Schizosaccharomyces pombe: one gene and its partners. The gene in region 2 interacts genetically with the main gene of each other region. Each region holds a gene or a part of one and is shown on either strand. Other genes may lie near its edges. The genes, in order: rlc1, myo51, scs22 and cdc8.

Region 1 (3,794 bases), on a different chromosome or scaffold from region 2:
CCAAGTCTCCCATCATTGCTGAGCTCAAGAAGAAGGTTGAGGAGAATGGTGCCGAAGACCGCTCTGTGAAGGATCTTGCTACTATTTTGTATGAGACCGCCTTGTTGTCCTCTGGTTTCACTCTTGATGACCCTAGTGCTTATGCTCAACGTATCAACCGTCTTATTTCTCTTGGTCTTAGCATTGACGAAGAGGAGGAGGCTCCTATTGAGGAAATTTCTACCGAATCCGTCGCTGCTGAAAACAATGCTGAGAGCAAGATGGAGGAAGTCGATTAAATCAAATGCATCTAATGTGTCTTTCCAAAATTTATGCATATAATGTTTTTCTTGGATTAAAGCAAGTTATCCTATACATTGTTAACGATTCTAGTGTCTGTTGTCATTCAAAAATTTCTTTCTACACGATTTTTCTTAATACACACTAGATTACAGGTTGTTTGGAAGTTGTTATAATATGGAATGTTGATTAGTAATATTAAAGTTTATGGATACTTATTAGTACATCAAATTTTGTTTTCGAATAATGTAGTTTATACTACTAACAAGTACAAGTTGGTGCTTAAAAGTTATTTTTTTCTAGTCATGTGAGAGCTGTTTTACAAGGTAGGATAATTTTGATGAGGAACATAGGTATGCTGGGCTAATATAGATTTATTCATACATTAATTGAACCCTCGAATGAAAATATGGTTAATGACATTAAGCCTAAGCTCTAACTCACTAAACACTGCAAATAATAGTAAAGTCGCAGAGAGTAGCTAAGTATTGAGACACATAAAGTATAGGTCACAACGAACATAAATGTATCAAATGCTTTCATAAAAAGTTAAAAGAGAAGAGGAAAATTCGTCTAAGGGAAATGGCTCAGGTTAAAAAGATAAAGTATTAGAGGGAAGAATGTGAAACATATCTGGCTGCTCTTAACTCAATTGCTATCTTTTGACCCAGCAATAGCATCAACGAATTTCTCGTAATAGAATACACCATGACTGGTGTACGAGCGTAAAATAGACTCGACTTCTTGAGGATCCATTCTATCACCCATACTTGACAAAGCATCTCTCATAGTGGAAATTGGAATTTTGCCGGATTGAGTATCATCGAATGTAGAGAACGCTTCTAGTAGATCATTTCTGGGGGAGATTCGACACAGCATACTACCCATCGCAGTGAGAAAAGCGGCTAAATTAATAGGCGGATTTATTGACTCAAACATGTGATTGATTGAATCTTCGGAGGCATCCTGATTCAAAGAAGTAAGCATGGTTTTGACATCCTCTCTTCCAATATTACCGTCACCATCTTTGTCTAATAGGGCAAAAGCCTCTTTAAGTTCTTGAATTTGGGAAGAAGTAAGTTGCGCAAATGCACCAGAAGATGCTCGTTTAGCGGCTTGGGCAGCAACTCTTTGAGAAGATGTTGTATTTGATGAAAATGGGGCACGTTTAGCACCTAAGGAATTTTCCTTCGAAGAGAACATCGTTAACAGAGCAAATGATCAAATAAGATATAGTTATGCTGTAAAGTAAAGTACGGAAGAATTAAGAAATGAAAAAAACTGCTGCCCTTACTGCAATAGCGGTAAATATGAATTTTATACACCGTAAGGCGAGGATATCAGCAAGTCATAAAAAAGGAGTCTAAATCAGTCACTAAATGCTAAGACTTGAAATATTCAAAAGGGAAAGCTAAGAATTCTCTAAGTAAATGTATCTGACAATTAGTTGTAAAAAAATCTATAAATAGACATATAGGAAGTAACCTATGATTGTTGATATTCAAGCTCTTGGTAAGTCTCAGAATTTAACATAGGCATGGAATACTGAGAACAAAGGAGATGTTAGTCTTTAATGACCCACGTTTGGTGCCGTTAAAATTAGAGAAAAGGCGAACTCTCAAGGATTTTTTTTTTTAGTATACATTTAGAAGAATTATATTTATCATAGTGTTTTATTTCTTATGATTATTATTTTATATGCTTAATCAAATCTCAATGTTTGATCAACAATGCCATGAGCATAATAATAATTTAATTTCGAGGGGTTAATAAAAGTTGAAACAAACGTAAGCAAATTTGTCAAGGATATAATGTCATTTATAAGTTGTATACACAGTAAAAAGTAGAATCAAAAAGGCCTCTTGAATTAGCGCTTCTTTTGATTTTATTTATTTACACTAATTTCGCTGAGCTGTCAAGGTTGAACAAAAGTAAAACTCAGTTAACAAAAAGTGAAATTTGAATAAATGAGTTAAATCAAATAGGCCTTGAAATATCTTTTTGCGGGCAAAGACTGAGTAGGCTGGGAATGAAGGAAATAAGGAGTATGACTTTAAGAACCAACTAGCATTATTCGGTTGAATTAAACAAATCCTTATTATAAATAAAAAGTAACAATAATAGAAACTGAATAATTTCTGATTTAATGGACAAAACTAGATAGACAATAGAAATTCTGATTTACAGAGATTTAATGAAAGTCAATAAATATCAAAGCATTGCAGAAAATTGATTTACCGTTATCCTACACAGTTCCGTACAGTCAAAACTTGTCTTAATGGTAATCCTTATTTCGAGCGAAAAATATTGATTTTCTTTTTCTCTTTGTCTTTCGGTATTTTGGAGTTTTGATTCTTAAGTGTTCAACGCCTTTAAAAGGCTCAATCATTTGTGATTTATATTATATCGATTAATTACAGCAGCTACTCCAAATACTGAGTCTGAACTTGCACACCAAAGATATTAGAAACAGTTTTTTTTAGTTAAAAGTCAATTTTTTCCATGTTACGTTGGTCATCAACGTATACGTTCGGGCTATTATGGCTCATCATCGGTAGCGAAGCATTTCATCTGAATGCTCTGAAGCAAGATCATTTGGAGCGTATGAAACAATACGATGCAAAAATTCGGCTAGCGAAACATGAATTTGATGATACAAGTAATGAAACAAAGTAAAACTTTATATTTATAATTGGATTCACTAATTAGCCTGCCAAATTAAGTAAGAAACGTCTGTTTCTTTAAATGGTATTGAGAATGTCTTCTTGAGCAACCTCAGTTAAGGAGTCCAGCATCTTAATCGTTTCTGGGTTGGTCAATTTCTGTAGTTGATAATGCTTTAAGACAATCTCCGCAAACGTTCTTGTTGTCTTTTTGGTTGAATAATCACGGAATGCTTTTTCGTATAATACTTTGGCATTTTTATACAACACAAGTTTGGAGTTTTGAGCTACCATGATGGGGATAGCTGCACGTTGAATCTCTAAGTCAGCTCTAGAAATGAGTATTCTTACATGATTAGGATTGTAAGTGTTAGCCATCTTTAAACTTTTGGCAGCTACTCCTAACATATTCCAGGCTCTAGTCATTATTTCAATAGATGCGCTTTCTTCTGTAGATACGCAGGAATCTAGTAGCGTCTCTGCAAAGTCTATGTATGCATCGGCTTTGTCGCACAGCAATTGAATATGCAAAGGTTTAACAGACGAGTTCGGATCCAACGGGTTTTGCAAGTTTAGCTGTGGTAATTGGCTAAGTTGATGGTCAAAAACTTGCAGTAAATCAATCCATGCCACCTCATTTTCTTTACCACCAAGTACTAAACGTTTGGTTTTCGCCAAGTACCAGTCCATTAGCTTTAATATATCGAGTTTTTCCGTAATCGGTAGCATTATCTGACAGAGTTTCTCAAAATCTGATTCTTCAAGTAACTTGCAACTGCATGCTAAAGAAGCAATTTCGGTAACTAATGTCGATGCCTCTTTGTCTGCTTCTATAAAGTATAATCGTCGAGC
Region 2 (6,952 bases):
TTTGGAGAATTCATTATTACAGTCGAACATCAGAAATGTAGGATATGAAAAAAAAAATCTTTACTACATATCATCTGCCTTTTCAAATCTTTTACACTGTCGTTATTTCAACTGTAACGATCGTCTGAGAAGTTTCTATTACCGATTTTCTTCTTGGTTATTTCATCAAACGCTTGCTTGTGCTAAAGAAGTTGAATCAGAGCGTGCTCCAACGTCTTACTTAACTTCCTGTTTACCAAGTATTAAGGTGATACTAGCAAGGGTGCTTGAAAGTTCTCCAGCTTTTGGATTCATTGAGCGGAACGAATTAGAACAATTGAGTTATCATTTCAGAATTTGTGAAAAGTTTTTTAAAGAATCTTCAGAAAATAAAATGTTAAACCTTTTTGAGGACTACAATGAATTCGGATTATGCAAATCTTTCATTTGTTTATTTAAAAGATTGAACGAAGACATTATAGGGCCAAAGTTAAATATAAACCCACCCGACTATACTACTCATCCATTTTCGGAATCGATCAAACGATTTTATCAAATATCCAAAATACTAAATTTATTGCTTTCCTGAAGTTACTATATGATGCTTTGAATTAACAGAGAATGATAAGAATATAGTATTAATGAGTACTAATATAAATTAAAAATATTGATCGGGTGTAACGTTTAATGATACTTGATAAAAAGCTTATAATGTAGCTTTAGCCAATAAGTTTATCAACTCTGAAAGTCGAAGCTCTTCGTATATATGATTATTTTCAAGTGATAATAAAGGGTTTTTAGAAGCAGCTATAGGAATAGCGTGCCCATTAGTGTTTGTGATTTTACCATTTGTAAAACCAGATTGCTTATACTTACAAGATAATGCCTCTACGGCTTTTGAAAAGGATTTTGGTAGAGGATTTTCACCAGCGCATGGCTGATACCTATTTAGGAGGCATACAACTTCAAATGGCGAAAGTAAATTACAAACAGAGAGAATAACATCCAAATCGTTTGCATCGTTTTTACGAAGGCAAAATACCAAAGGAGACTGCATTAAAGGCAATAGTGACGAGTTAACATAACTAATACCCTTTTGATGACACCAGTTAATCAACAGCGAGGCATTATAGGAAACCTGAGAAGCAGATTTCCAAGTGTACGGTGACCGGCTAGAATGTTAGTGATAGTTTTTTTGATAGCTGCCTTACCCATGAATTAATGTTTGAAAGGCACGTTGTCCTATATGTTGAAGCATGTGAGATATAGTCAATTCCAATAAATTTGGTTGCAAGGCAGAAGATATTAATAATTTGTGTATTAAATTCATTCTGTCTATCAACTCATAAATATTCATTCCAGTAGGTGTTGTGTTCTCATCAGCCGCATCGATAAACTCTGGTAAACATTTTGAATTTAAAAGAGCATTAATCGATCCCTCGGTACAACAACTTAATAGTTTCTGGACCAAGGAATGAAATGAATTTTCCAGATTAGAAAAATGTTTTGAGAATTTCAAAATCAACGGATTCCATAAATCCTCTACCACACTTTGCTTTCCATGTGAATTAATAGATAAAAGATGCACTAAAAATGAACGAATTTTGTGTAACGTTGCGAACCAATACAAAACCGCTTGTAGAGGTTTTTCATAGAAATCTAGAGTTTTATCATTTTCAATAACTGTACCGTCAACGATTTTAGTGAAATAGGAACACAATTGGCTCAAAAACTCACTGATTTGTGTCTTCAAATCAAGGCTAATACCTGCAAAAATTAGAAAGTTTACTACCCCAGCAAAAAGTAGTGAGTTCTGATCCGTTTCTAACAACCTCATAACACCATCTTTGTAACCAACTGCATTAAACAAAGAAGAAACCGTGAGAGCTTGCTTAATTTGCTTTAAAAAAACAACCCTTTTCTCATACAATAAATCTTTAGTTTGTTTATTAACAACTTCATTAGGTAAGAGAGATGCATTTTCAACACCAACTAATTCAAGAAGCTGTTTGAGTTTTTTGTGGATGGAGAAGTATCTATCCATTGCGTAAAAAAGAACACGGGAAGGTAGTTGTTCAGTATCATATTCAAATTTTTCAGAAACTGTCATCTGTAAAGCTTGGTAATAATTCGACAAGTTCTCTCGGGCAGTTTGAGATTGAACAAATCCCAACTCCGATTTTTTGGCTGCCATATAAAGTTGCTGAGATGCTTGCCGAAGCTTTGATTCGGCTTGCAAAAGTTGCACAAGCTGTTCATCGTTGCTAGTAAAATCCATACTAACGGGTTCAGAAAAGTCACTGGGCTTCTTAATTAAACACTTCCATTTCGATAGTGAGTTATTTAAAATATTAAGCTTATTCCTTAAAACTGTTACTTTTTTGCTATTTGATTTCAACTGTTTGGATACTTCGGTTATAGAAGCCTGCAGGTTCTTTTGCTTCTCATAAAGAATGCTAGTCCTGCCCGCCGAATCTTGTAATCTGCGAAGATATCTTCTGGTTAATACAGAGCGCGACACACATTGCAGAGCAATAACTGACTTCTTCAAACCTCTAAAAGTTTTTCTTGCGTTGTACGCTCGCCAAAATTTTGCAAGAAGTGTAGCAGAACTTTCCCTTAACTCATTTATATAACGAGAATATGCGATATTCTTCCGAACTATTGATTGAATAACAATAGCACATTTGATAAGGGACAAATATCTTTTGCGTTGGATATAAGATCGCCAATGAGCTTGAATAAGAATGGCTGCTCGTTCAATTTTTTCTCGCTCAAAACGTTGACGAGTTAACCAGCCCATAATAACCGATTGTAGTTTAATGATAAATTTTACAGTTCTTTGATACTCCTTCCGAGTAAAGAAGCCTCTTATAGCAGACTGTAATAAAACTGTCGATTTGCTACATGTAGCTCGATGGGCTTCTTCAAAATTTCCAATAACGTTTGATCTGAAAAATATTTTGGAGCGACCAACTTGAAAGTTTAGGTTATCATGAGGAATTACAGAGTTAACAATATTAAGAGTCAACTTTTTATTATCTTCCTCCCATTCTTTAGAAGACAACAAAATGCGGAATCGATGAGCAAATTCCTCATACGAAAATCGAGCAGGAAACCCTAACGAGGATATCCTAATTGTTTCAAAAACACCGCAGGCCCTGAGTTGTGAGAGCACCATCGGCGGGGAGAACGTCCAAGGAAGCTTTTCTTCATTAGGCTTAATGCATCGAATGTAATGAACATTAGTAGAGGAAACAGTTGTCATTAATTGAGACAAAGAAGATTTAAACATTGATGAAAGTGTAGGTTTCCTGCTTATAGCAGTCTTTCTAGGATTTTTATTTTGAGAAGAAACCAACTGCATATAAAAGTCTAGCAGATAAGTTATAAACTCATTTTTTGAGTTTTGTAGTAAACTTATAAACTCATCAGGTATGGCATCCGAATTTTTTGCTAAAAAATCGTGTACTTGATAACTAACGTCCAAAGCATAATGTTTAACCATAAATGAACCATCATTAAATCTAGATTTTTTATAGAACTGAGAGTGTTTTGTAGGAAGTTGATTATTTAATTTTTGTAAAAACGATTGGTGGTTCCCTGAAGGTAAGCGACATTCCTCATCCAACAACGAGAGTATCCCTAATTTGTCTTCGATTAAGGATATGCAACCTTGATTGTCAGAATATTCTATAAGTCGCCAGTCTAATCCTTCTTTAACATATTCTTCCTGTTCTAGTTTAAAAACGTGCTTATTAAATTCTTGTTGAAGTTTTTCATTAGCATAATTAATACAGAATTGCTCCATCGAATTTTTTTCGAAATGTTCGAAGCCATAAATATCAACAACACCAATATATTTGTAGGCAGCTCTTTTAACTTTGTTATGGTCAAGTGATGCATTAATCATGTGAACAATCCACAAAAACAGTGCGGAATATAAATATTTAGCGACAGAGTCTCTTATGCTAATAGCATGTTCCAAAGTTGATGAGGTAATAATGGTTTCGGATCTAGTTTTCAGTTGTCTTTTAACAATCCATTTAGCAAGCGTAGATGAATCGACACCAAGTAATAAAGCAGCTTTCTGAAGATACCCATCACCGGGCTGTATTTGTGCTTCATTTCTTGTTGCACAGACTTCAATGTTACCAAGGTGGAGTAAGGCAGCAAGTAGACAAAATACATCCTCCTGCCTTGACTCTGAAATACCAATAGTTGAAAGAGCTCTGCAAGTTATAGTAAAGTCATTACTGTCGTCAACGCCAGATATTTCATCACAATTTCCTTGTGATAAATAATTAAAAGAAGACGCAGACTCAAGAAACCATTTATCCCTTTGTTCCTCTGTACATCCAGTAATTAGCTGATAAAAAATGTGATAATTTCTTTCCCCTTTAAGTAAAGAGACTACTCGGGATCTTTCAAGTAAATATGTGTTTACATTTGCTCCGGTAATCAACAAGTTTTCATCAAAGCTTATGGTAACATATTTACCAAAACGTGAAGAGTTATCATTTCTGATAGTTTTTGCGTTACCAAATGCTTCCATAATAGGATTAGTAGCGAGAACTTGATTCTCAACAGAGCGTTTAACAACACCATTATGATCTACTCCCTGTACCGAGGTCAAGTAACGCATAATATACTTAGCAGCAACTGTTTTGCCTGCACCTGATTCTCCAGACACAATAATAGTCTGATTCTTGGAATCTGTAGTTAAAGCATGGTAACAAGAACTTGCTATAGAGTATAGGTGAGGAACTTTGGCTGCTTCGGGATCTTTATGGAAATGTTTTATCAGATTGTCGTTGTAAAACTCGGGAAGATTTTGGTAAGGGTTTATTGAGACAAGCACGATTCCCGAATATGTGTAAATTTGCTTGTTATTGTAACGATTATGTAAGGCATGAAGGACAGATGGCTCATTTAAATAAGGAAGATTCGTTAAATCAGAAGGCGACTCTGATTGACCGATGTTTCGATTTTGTAACTGTTGGTAATTCACTGTTTCTAAAACACCGCTGCTCTTTGCAACAGTTGCTACGACTTTACCTCCTCCATTATCTTTTATTTCGATTAATCGAGCAGCATCCCAATGACCGTTATTATTGGAAACCCAACATTCCCTAATTTGTAACGATTGTTAATAGAAGGGTGTTTACTTTTTGAGAATTTACTTACGAGCCTACCGATAATCTTGCATGACTCATAGCAATTTTTAATTACTTTCTTTTGAAAATAAAATATCTTCTGTGGTATAAAAGGAAAACTATATCAAAAGAAGGAATAAAGTTATAAATCGGGTAACTTGAGTTTCGATGTGCTATGTACACAAATAAATATTTACGAGCAAACACGCTAGAGCGTATCGCTACGCCAAACTTCCCAACGCCTAATTTCTTTAATTCGAAAGCAAAACAAAGAAAATTGGTATTTTAGGGTTTTGAATTTTTATTGCTTTAAGCGGGTCTTTTAAATTAGTCTTTTAATCTCTGTTTGTTCTCATGAATTGTTGTATCTTAGATTTATTTATCTATCAATTTTATATAGCAATAAAAAAGGTATTGATCTTTTAATCCAATATTGCCTTGAAAATATGATGGACTGTGGGTTTTGATAATTTATTTAAACGGAATGAACAATGTAGCTTCATAGTTCTTATAATCAACAATCAATTTTACAAGGAACAACCCGCAATGAGTTAAGCTTAACTTAGTCCCTATGTTTCAATTGAAAGTTGTAATTGTTGAAGAATGTTGCAAAACTTATGGAATATATCAGTTTCAATTAGTTTCATTTCATTAGAGTTGAATTTACTCAAAACATAATCTGAAACGTCCTCCCTATTCCTTGACTCACAACGTCCAATTCCCAATCCAATCCTGTAAAAACTCTTTGAATTAGTAATGAAATTAAATGTGTACCTTACTTCTTTTCCTAGGAATTCTTGACAAGAGCGAATCCCATTGTGTCCCCTAGCAATGTTAATAAGTATTGCTTTGGATATTACTTACCTGTGAGAGCCTCCGGGCAAACGAAGCTTGACTTTGCCTAAATCTAACTCCAATTCGTCATGCACAACTACATATACGATTTTGTCTAATGGCGAAACTTTGCGCACAAAATCATTAGATATCTTTTTCAACTGTTTCCCGGAATCATTCATGTATGAGGTGGACAAAACCAAGGTGAGATTTTCTTTGGTACTAGGCCAATTTTTTGGAAATGCCATGCTGTCAGCGTACATACTCACCATTAATTTCCCCAGTGAGTGTCTCGATTTGACGAACGCTGATCCTGGATTTCCTAAACCATAGATCTTTCGGATTAGTATCCCATTTTGGAAAGACTTTTACGGATCATAACAATTTTTATAGAAACTCTTCTTTTAAGGTCGCAATGGTTAACTTCTGCTTTGTTTTTCCTGGCAATTAAAATCTTAGGAAGATGTTTTATTGCCATACGGAACTTTGGTACTTATTTTAAAAAAAATTTTTTTTGATTGAAAAAAAGCTTTAGCATCCTCAACAGAATTTTCAACTTACCAAGAATTGTGTTTGCACCATGGACTTTTTTCTGAGAAAATTTTTATTTAGGCACAAGGTTTTATTAAGATTAATAAATACTTTCCAACTGATTGGTTTTGGCCTACTCTTTGGTATTTAGCACGGTTAGCTCCCCACGAAAATAATATTTTAGTTTAGATTAATAAAACAATGTTTCAAACTACGAAGAAACTTGGAAACCACCTATTTCATGTTTTAGCCATTTAATTATAAGGAGACTACTTATCTTAACTTTTAGTAACGTATTATTACGAAAATTAATAAAAAGTAATCAAAGTTATATGATGGAGGAGGTAATAATGCATTTTAATATAGGTATTGGCTAACTGGTATTCTAGGAGAGATTCAAAGCAGAGATTTTTCACGTTACACAAGAAGTTTGTAATCGTACAGCTTCTGAA
Region 3 (4,323 bases), on a different chromosome or scaffold from region 2:
CAAGTTGGTTAACCGGTTTATCAAATACATCAGTGCCGTATGAGGCACGGGGAAAGGTAGTGGTAAACTTAGTTGGCGGTGACACGTTCATTTTCTCAGCGACCTGTTGTGCCAATTGGCGTAGCGTCTCCTCAGCTGCAATAGTTATATTACAAACTTGACCATCGTGTCGGATAGAAAATCTGCCTGATGTAGGAGGGGTGCGAGTACAAGTAGAAGACGAATTGGCATTTTTAGGCTGCTTGATGGGAGCAGCCGTTTCTTTTACAGAAGAATTCTTATTTTCCCGTTCTGCAGCTCGTCGTTTTTTATCGCGTTCAATTTCTGCGAGGATTTTCTTACGCTGCTCAGCATCTTCAGCCTTTTGTTGACGGATCTTTTGCAAGTCACGTAAGCGGGCTTGATCCTGCATCTTTCTCATAGCCTGTGCAGTTTCATCATTGGATTTTTGAAGGATTTTATAATTTGTCTTCTTCTCTTCCAGAGCCAAAATCCTTTCTTTTTCCTTTTTCTCCTTTGCTTTCTCTCTTAAAGCTTCAATAGCTTGTTTTAACTCTTCGGGAGAACGCTTCTTAATCTATGTTTTATAATCGTTGTTAATAAAAAGAAAGGATCGAGTGAAACAAATTATTGTTTTCGTGAATTATAATAATAAGGATGGTTAACAATTCGAACGCTTCAACCATTCAGCAAAAAGTAAAAGGAGTAAAATCTATACATACCTCTTCTTCAGTTTCCTCAAATTGATCATGACTGGTTTTGGTACTATGAAATTCAGCCATTTCGATGGAGGAAAGCAATTTATCGCATTCCAAACATTTCAAAACCATTTTTGTGTAGAGTTTGTAGTTGCAAAAGGCAAATTACAATGACGCTCAAAAATAGCCCTACGTTCCATCGACTCAACATCTAACGTGCTAATATCTACAATATCGTATTACCAAACATCGCAGTTGAGAGCATTATAAATTTGTTGGTCATTGAAATAGAAATGACAGGTCAAATGAAACAAAATAATTGTAGTTACCACCGATTACGCTATGAATTAGAAGAATAAATGATTGTATATATTGCACGACATCCGCAGACCGATGATTGAAAATGATTACTGACTTTCGTGATCCTGTAGTTGGCATCCACTCGAGTAATTCGTTTCCTTTATACATGGTATGCTTTCTAAAGCATCGCTGATATTCCTTGAAATAAAAATGTTGATTTTTCCCTAGCATAATGACCATTAACGAAAGTATACAATATCTATTTAATGATTGTCTAAACCAAAAAACGTATTTCCTTTGAATAGAAAGTGTAAACGAATGCGCAATTTTTTTTTGAAATCATAATGTTTACTTCATCCTTGCATTCTTAAGTTGTAATTAAGACAATTCAAACGCATTAACATGACATTTAGAAATTAAAAAGGATAACTTGAATCATCCTTTTTGGGTATTTATATCATTTATTAATTTCACAAACAATAAATCCATATACTTATTGGGATTTTATAACCATACTGCATTCGTACATTATTCACCTACTGCAAAATATTTTTTAGCATATATTACTTTTTACTTTCAAAATATCACATTTATTTTAATAATATCGTTATAAGGCTTTGTATAATATCGATGAAAACAGTTACTTGAATAATTATCTCCTTTTATTTCAGTATCCATATATTACCATAATCTTTGCTCAGCCTCGGAAAATCACACACAAGTATGTGTGACGTAAAGCCACGATTTTTGGCTACACTGCGAAATGGTACTTCGCAGAGTAAAGTAGTACCACCTCTCGCAACAAACTCGCCTTTCCCGTAAATCATGGCTCTTGAATGTGATAGTACAATTGTGTTTCCTCGACCACTTACACGACTAGTAAAATGTGATTTAGAACTTCGCAATACTGCACCTTATCCGATCGGATTCAAAGTGAAAACTACTGCTCCTAAACAGTACTGTGTGAGACCCAACGGTGGTCGAATTGAAGCCAATTCGGCTGTAAGTGTTGAAGGTAAGATAATTTATATTTAATTTTGAACCTCATTTGCATTTTTTGATTTTATTCGTTTAAGCGGTTCCCATCATTGATGTTGTCGGGTGGAACAAAAACGTTGTCATCAACGTGATTTTCTTTTGCAAACTAACAGTTTTTATTGTTTTTGTGCGTGCACTGGAAGATAATTTGTGCTCATTAGTTATTGCTGTAAATTTTCATTTACTAACTTCTTTTTTTTTAATAGTTATCCTACAGCCTCTAGATCACGAACCGGCTCCTGGCACAAAATGCCGCGATAAATTTTTGGTCCAGAGCACTGAATTGAAGCCAGAATTACAGGGAATGGATATAGCAGATATTGTATGTGATAAAAGATATACTTACATTTACTTTTTTAATACATGCCATACATAATTGATGTTCTAACCAATACTTTAATAGTGGACTCAAGTCAGCAAGGCTAATATATCGGAACGAAAAATTCGATGTGTTTATAGTGAAGGCCCCAGTACTGCAAATGCTCATGCTAATGCTCACCATCAACCAGCTCAAACAACGACTACATCTATTCCTACTTCTGCCACTGACAATTATACCACAGTAAATGGTAATGTTAATCAATCTTACTCTAAAGGAATAGACGGAACGGCACTTCCTTCGACCCATGCAAATCCCGTAGCTGCTCCATCTACAGCTACTACACAGCATACCCAGCTTCCTAAAACATCTGCAGTTTCTCACCAGAAGCCCCATGAAGCCCCATCTACTGCCGTAAAAGCTCCTACTGCAACAGTCGCTGAAAATGAACCTTACCCAAAGCCTCAGTCAGTGCCTACTACCACTTCTCCTAACAATGAAAATAATGCATTAAGATCTACCGCTAATGTAATTAATAACACAAGACAATCAACAGCTACGAGTCCATCTATGTTCGCTGGAAACAGTGGAAATCAAATAGGACTTGCACGCGTTTCATCGTCTTTTGGGCGTCCGACTAGTGGTGCCAAGGTTGTTCCTCAAATTCATAACACAGTTACTGTGCAAACCGCTTTCCTATTAGCCATTATATGTTTCCTTATAGGCCTTCTGTTCTAGTTTTTAAATATATTGATGCATACTGTGCCAACCCATTCCATTGTCATTCCCAATGTTCATACTATTAGTATGACGATGAAAATTGTTTTGTGGATTTGTTTGTTGAAAAGTATGACTTCTTTCATGTACAAGTGGCTCATTTTTTTGTAATTGCTTAAGGTAATTTAATGCCTCTTCCATTCTGTTTTGTGATGTTTTATTGTGCTCTTCCAACTCTTCCAAAGGTAGTAAAGGGACTACAGGCCGATCCTCAAGTTGTCTTAAAACAACAAGCCACGCGCCCGTTAATTCATAGTACGCTTGACTTTTATAAACATTATGGTTGGGATTATGGAATTCTGGCAGTTCGTGGACAACGTTTGTAGCGGCATCAAGAAAAGTAATATTTTTCTCAAAACAAGTAGAGTATGGAGGTAAATAACAAGGAACCATATCATTAAGCGCATGTAAGACAGCCATGTACTTTTCACGAATTCTATTAAATGCGTAATCACCCCTCTTGTCACCACCATAGGGAAATGAGTCATTCAAGTTAATTAAAAGTTTACGCAACGTTTCAACACAAGTATCCATGGACGGCGCCGGTAATATGCCCCGTATATCACGTGCGAGATCAGGATGCTTTTCTACACATTGTAATAAAATTGTAAAAAGCTGTTGTTTGTCTGAATATTGTAGCAGTCTCGACAATGGCAGTTGCTCACCCACAGGTAGTTGACGAGCACGCTTAGAAATGTCTTCGTCAAAATCAGCTTTGCGTTTCTTAATCTGAGAATAAGATAAGGTCTCCATGAATTAAGGAAATGAACAGTAACAACAAATAAAGATACCAACTTCAAACGTGAAATCGTCTGATTAATTATAACAAAGAAAATGAAAATTACAAAGAAATGGATATTCCAAAAGAAAGAGGAAAAAATTTCAAAAGTAGTAACAATAAAACAAAGATAGAGGATACTTTGTTAATGAGCTTCCTTTTTTAAAAGCCGGAAGGATGGCTATTGCTCAGTGTATCGACTTATGAAAGCTAGCAATTTAATTTTTTTCTCAGCCCAAATGAAATAAAACCGTCGATTATAATTTCTATATTACAAGAAGCTCTATTGCCCGCAATACCAGCTCAATTAGAACCTCGATTTCTTAAAAAAGATAATGGAAAATGGTAAGAACAATTTAGTGGCTCAAGAGTTTTCTTCTCATGAGACGTTACCAAACTATTACTTAATTCCT
Region 4 (3,547 bases), on a different chromosome or scaffold from region 2:
GTAGTTGACAAGCCGACGGTAAGTCTACATTAACCAAAGTAGCACATTAACGCAAACCCTGTACCTCGTTATTCCGATAAAGGTTTATGTAAATTTATATCAAGTAGAACATGTAAATGGCAATACATGTCAATACATTAAGATATTCTTTTTATTTACGTTAACATCTTATGTTTTTAGTTGATTCAACTTTGATTATGCTTACGATGCCTAACAATGCTCTTCAACGTGTACGGATATCGGATTTCCAAAAAAAAAATAATAAAATAAAATAAAAGGCAATTTAACAAATAGGTAAATTCATAGAAAATGTGAGTTTAACAGGTATTGTGATTCTGCAAAATAGATTGATTTTAAAAAACCCGCGCTGAAGATGAATGTCATTCATACAATAAAGTAAGACAAACCTAACTATAATGATCCCCTAACAAAAGCACGACCACTCGTTTGCACGAATTACTTTAAGGTAGACGTGTATAAACAACTTACAAAATACCGATTTCAGCCTAGCAAACTTCAATATTTACATCGTAAAAAAAAGGAAAGATAAAGACGGTATTTATCATATAGAAGTCTTTATTAAAGAGTTGGCATTCGAAAAAAAATAAAAGCTTATCATTCAGATAACATTAAGACAGTTATGCTTACAAAATGTTATTTAAGTTAGAAGGGAAAGTGGTGGGAATCGGGAAGATAAGGGCACATTTCTTCTCAATTTACAATACTCAGACATTTGATATCATAAATACTGATTCTCGTAAAAAGGTAACACCAGTAAGTTGACTAAAGAAAGAAAACAGTGTTCCATACCAAAATCAAATCATTTTTCGCTAAATATAAACCATAAAAAGTGAGGTCGAACTTAGCTAGTTGACAAAGTAAGAAAGAAAAAGAATGACAGCAAATAGAAGATATAAAAAAGGTGGTATGTTTCTTCTATGTTCGTCAAGCTTTTCGCTATCTACAAATCCTCAAGAGCTTGGTGAACTTCATCTAATTCAGCCTTGACCTTAGTATACTTGTCAGTCATTTCTTCTAGTTTCTGTTCCATATCATCACGCTCACGCTCTAGAGATTGGACGCGACGTTCAAAATGCTCAGCCTTAACATCAGTTTGACGCATCTTTTCGGTGGTTTCGCGAAGTAGCTTGTCATTAGTTTCTAGTTCTTCCTCTAAAAGCTCAACTTTACGGCTCAACTGCTCGGCTTCCGTCTTTTGAATATCTTCATTGTCGGCTTTGAGACGTAACTGCTTAGTTTCTTCTTCTAACTCTTCGAGTTGAGACTCGGCGGCTTCGCTTTTCCTCGAAAGAGACTCATATTCTTGCTCTTTAAGAGAAAGTTGAAGTTCAACTTCTTTCAACTTGGCTTCAGCTGCTTCAGCACGAGCGACAGCCTCATCAGTCTCAGCACGAGCGGCATTAATTTTCTAAATAAAAAGCAAATATTAGCAACTTGATTTTCCAATGAAAAGCTATCATCTCATACCTCTCTAAGCTTATCCATTTTCCTACTGTTTCCTTCTTTCCTTGATGGTGGAGGGAAGATACCGATGGGTGTGTTTGACATGCATATACCACGGTAAGGGTGGTGAATTAATTGACGGTACAAGAAAGTTCTATTTACTAATTTATTACAAAGAAATACACACAAGCTCTACAGTAAAGCGCTTTGTTCATCAAAGAACAAAGAAGTTGAGGCTTTGCTTACAACACACCAGATTGTTAATTTCATCAAAGAAATAAGCGTTAAAAGAGCAAAGTTAAAAACAGTAGTCAAACATTTGTAAATTATAATCGAAGTGTTCCTGCAATAGATTTTCAAGTTTGGAATGAAGTGATTTAAACAATGCCTGATTTTTGTATTTATGACTGAAATTTTAAGAGCTCTCTACTGCTAAAGAAAAATGGCATATATCAATAATATTTAATCATTTAGTTATACAATTATAAAGAGGTCCGCTTGTTAATTTCATATTTACACACATACAGACTAGGAATTAGTTGGAAACAGGTATTTAAGAAGCAATATTTTAAATGGCTATTATCATACTTCCAATTGCCAAAGTAATCATTTCATTAAGTTTCACAACATTTAGCTTACATAGGTTACGGAGTCGTAATTGCGACAAGAGAAAAGAAAGGAGAATCAATACTCTGAATATAATTTTTAATAACTGAAAGTACTTCGGCATTCAGTAAATCACTTTCAATTTCAGAATGTTGCACGGGCCCCTCTTGGCGGCCGTCTAGCTCATAAAAATGATTGTCGTCCTTTGATTTTCCCTTTACAAAACAGATAAAATGAAGATCAGTTTCTACATCTTCCTCAGACCCCTCTACTTCCAAAGGTGGACCAGCAAATGCTGCATGTAAAGCTTCAAGTTCTTTCGAATCCTCGATAAGCTTAGCCCTTTCTTCGATAGATGAACCTTCAGCAGTTCTGATTAGACTTTTAATAAAATCATTTTCATTGACTTTTCTTCTAAGTTCTCCATTCGAAACCGCATGTAGCAATCCAATCGTTCCGCAAGCATTTGGAATTGTTTGAGGGTACCACAAGACTTTGTCACTATCCTTTGGTAAAATTCGTGATCCTTTATATATAGTTTTTGTTCCTGAGGATGGAAAAACGAATAAAAGAGCATGGACAGGACGAGGGATATATTCGGGGATTTCCTCTAATGAAAACAGGTCAAAAACGCTAGCATCTTGTACACCGATTTTTTGTAAGTAAGGTTCCAGCACCTCTGGTGTATTTTCTAAAGGCCTCCACATTGTAATTTTTCTCGAATGATAAATGGCTCTAATTGAGGCTTTTTTGATCAGGTTTGGAAGGCGTGGCAGAGGTCTCAGAAGTCAGCAAAGAGGCAAAACACCAAAGTTTGACAAAGTTAATCGAATATCTTTAGATTGCCAATTTTGGGAATCTACAAAAAAGCTTTACTATAATCAGTATCCTATACTTCAATATCCTGTCACGTTCAGCTATGAAGATGACTGTAAAAATAGGGATTGTTCCATAGGTATATTATAAATAGAGTCATAAAATATTAATAATTACCAAGATTTACCTATATACATTTACTGTAAAATCTAAAATTCTGGCTTCGAAGTCCAACCAACGTTCTTATAGGTAGTGTTGAAATATTTGCACGAATAAAGATTTTTCAAAATGAAGATACTAAGAGTTAGAAGACCTTAAGTTTCTGAGAAGTTCAGCAATATAAAGCTCCACGTGCGATTTCAATTTTTCGAATTCCATAGTTATAGAGGATATTTGAGACTCCAGTTCTTCTCGCATTCCAGCAATTTTTTGTTCGGTCATCTCTATCATGGCATTTTTCTTTTCAGTCTCCTGAATCTTTTTATTCCTTTCTTGGGTAATTACTTTGTATTCTTCCCGTATGTTGTCCATTCGTTGTTTGGCAGCCTCAAGTTTTTGATTTCGAGAATGTTGTTCATGCTCGAGTTTTTCTTGAGCATTAGATAATTGCTTTAAAAGTTGTTCTTTTCTGAACTCAAGTTTTTTTTTGTTTATTTCTATT

Evidence for each region.
Region 1: mutations in myo51 (region 2) and rlc1 impair growth when combined (synthetic growth defect), as found in Schizosaccharomyces pombe (one study listed by BioGRID).
Region 3: of myo51 (region 2) and scs22, changing one enhances a phenotype caused by changing the other (phenotypic enhancement), as found in Schizosaccharomyces pombe (one study listed by BioGRID).
Region 4: of myo51 (region 2) and cdc8, changing one enhances a phenotype caused by changing the other (phenotypic enhancement), as found in Schizosaccharomyces pombe (one study listed by BioGRID).

What each region holds. Positions count from the first base shown.
Region 1 is NC_003424.3:3,885,258-3,889,051, reverse strand, and holds rlc1 (myosin II regulatory light chain Rlc1), read right to left. Parts: upstream 1,791-3,794; 5' UTR 1,483-1,790; coding exon 928-1,482; 3' UTR 555-927; downstream 1-554. Other genes in the region: Hsp90 chaperone, read left to right, coding at 1-278; protein Ina22, read left to right, coding at 2,782-2,955; SPOM_SPAC926.02 (uncharacterized protein), read right to left, coding at 3,021-3,794.
Region 2 is NC_003423.3:2,989,620-2,996,571, forward strand, and holds myo51 (myosin type V), read right to left. Parts: upstream 5,296-6,952; 5' UTR 5,196-5,295; coding exon 5,167-5,195; intron 5,112-5,166; coding exon 1,191-5,111; exon of another isoform or gene 1,152-1,190; coding exon 686-1,151; 3' UTR 569-685; downstream 1-568. Other genes in the region: telomerase regulator Est1, read left to right, coding at 1-568; peptidyl-tRNA hydrolase Pth1, read right to left, coding at 5,705-5,878, 5,915-5,960, 6,000-6,304, 6,352-6,447; protein mhf1, read left to right, coding at 6,833-6,844, 6,890-6,952. UniProt on the Schizosaccharomyces pombe protein: Involved in cytokinesis.
Region 3 is NC_003424.3:4,477,412-4,481,734, reverse strand, and holds scs22 (VAMP/synaptobrevin-associated protein family protein), read left to right. Parts: upstream 1-1,783; 5' UTR 1,784-1,823; coding exon 1,824-2,013; exon of another isoform or gene 2,014-2,185; intron 2,186-2,242; coding exon 2,243-2,358; intron 2,359-2,439; coding exon 2,440-3,093; 3' UTR 3,094-3,096; downstream 3,097-4,323. Other genes in the region: SPOM_SPAC17C9.11C (zf-C2H2 type zinc finger protein/UBA domain protein), read right to left, coding at 1-577, 723-830; nuclear proteasome tethering factor Cut8, read right to left, coding at 3,097-3,885. UniProt on the Schizosaccharomyces pombe protein: Vesicle-associated membrane protein-associated protein (VAP) implicated in maintaining the cortical endoplasmic reticulum (ER)-plasma membrane (PM) attachment.
Region 4 is NC_003424.3:4,318,699-4,322,245, forward strand, and holds cdc8 (tropomyosin), read right to left. Parts: upstream 1,538-3,547; 5' UTR 1,507-1,537; coding exon 1,489-1,506; exon of another isoform or gene 1,475-1,488; intron 1,430-1,474; coding exon 962-1,429; 3' UTR 549-961; downstream 1-548. Other genes in the region: ubiquitin hydrolase Uch1, read right to left, coding at 2,109-2,777; protein Nuf2, read right to left, coding at 3,184-3,547. UniProt on the Schizosaccharomyces pombe protein: Forms part of the F-actin contractile ring during cytokinesis.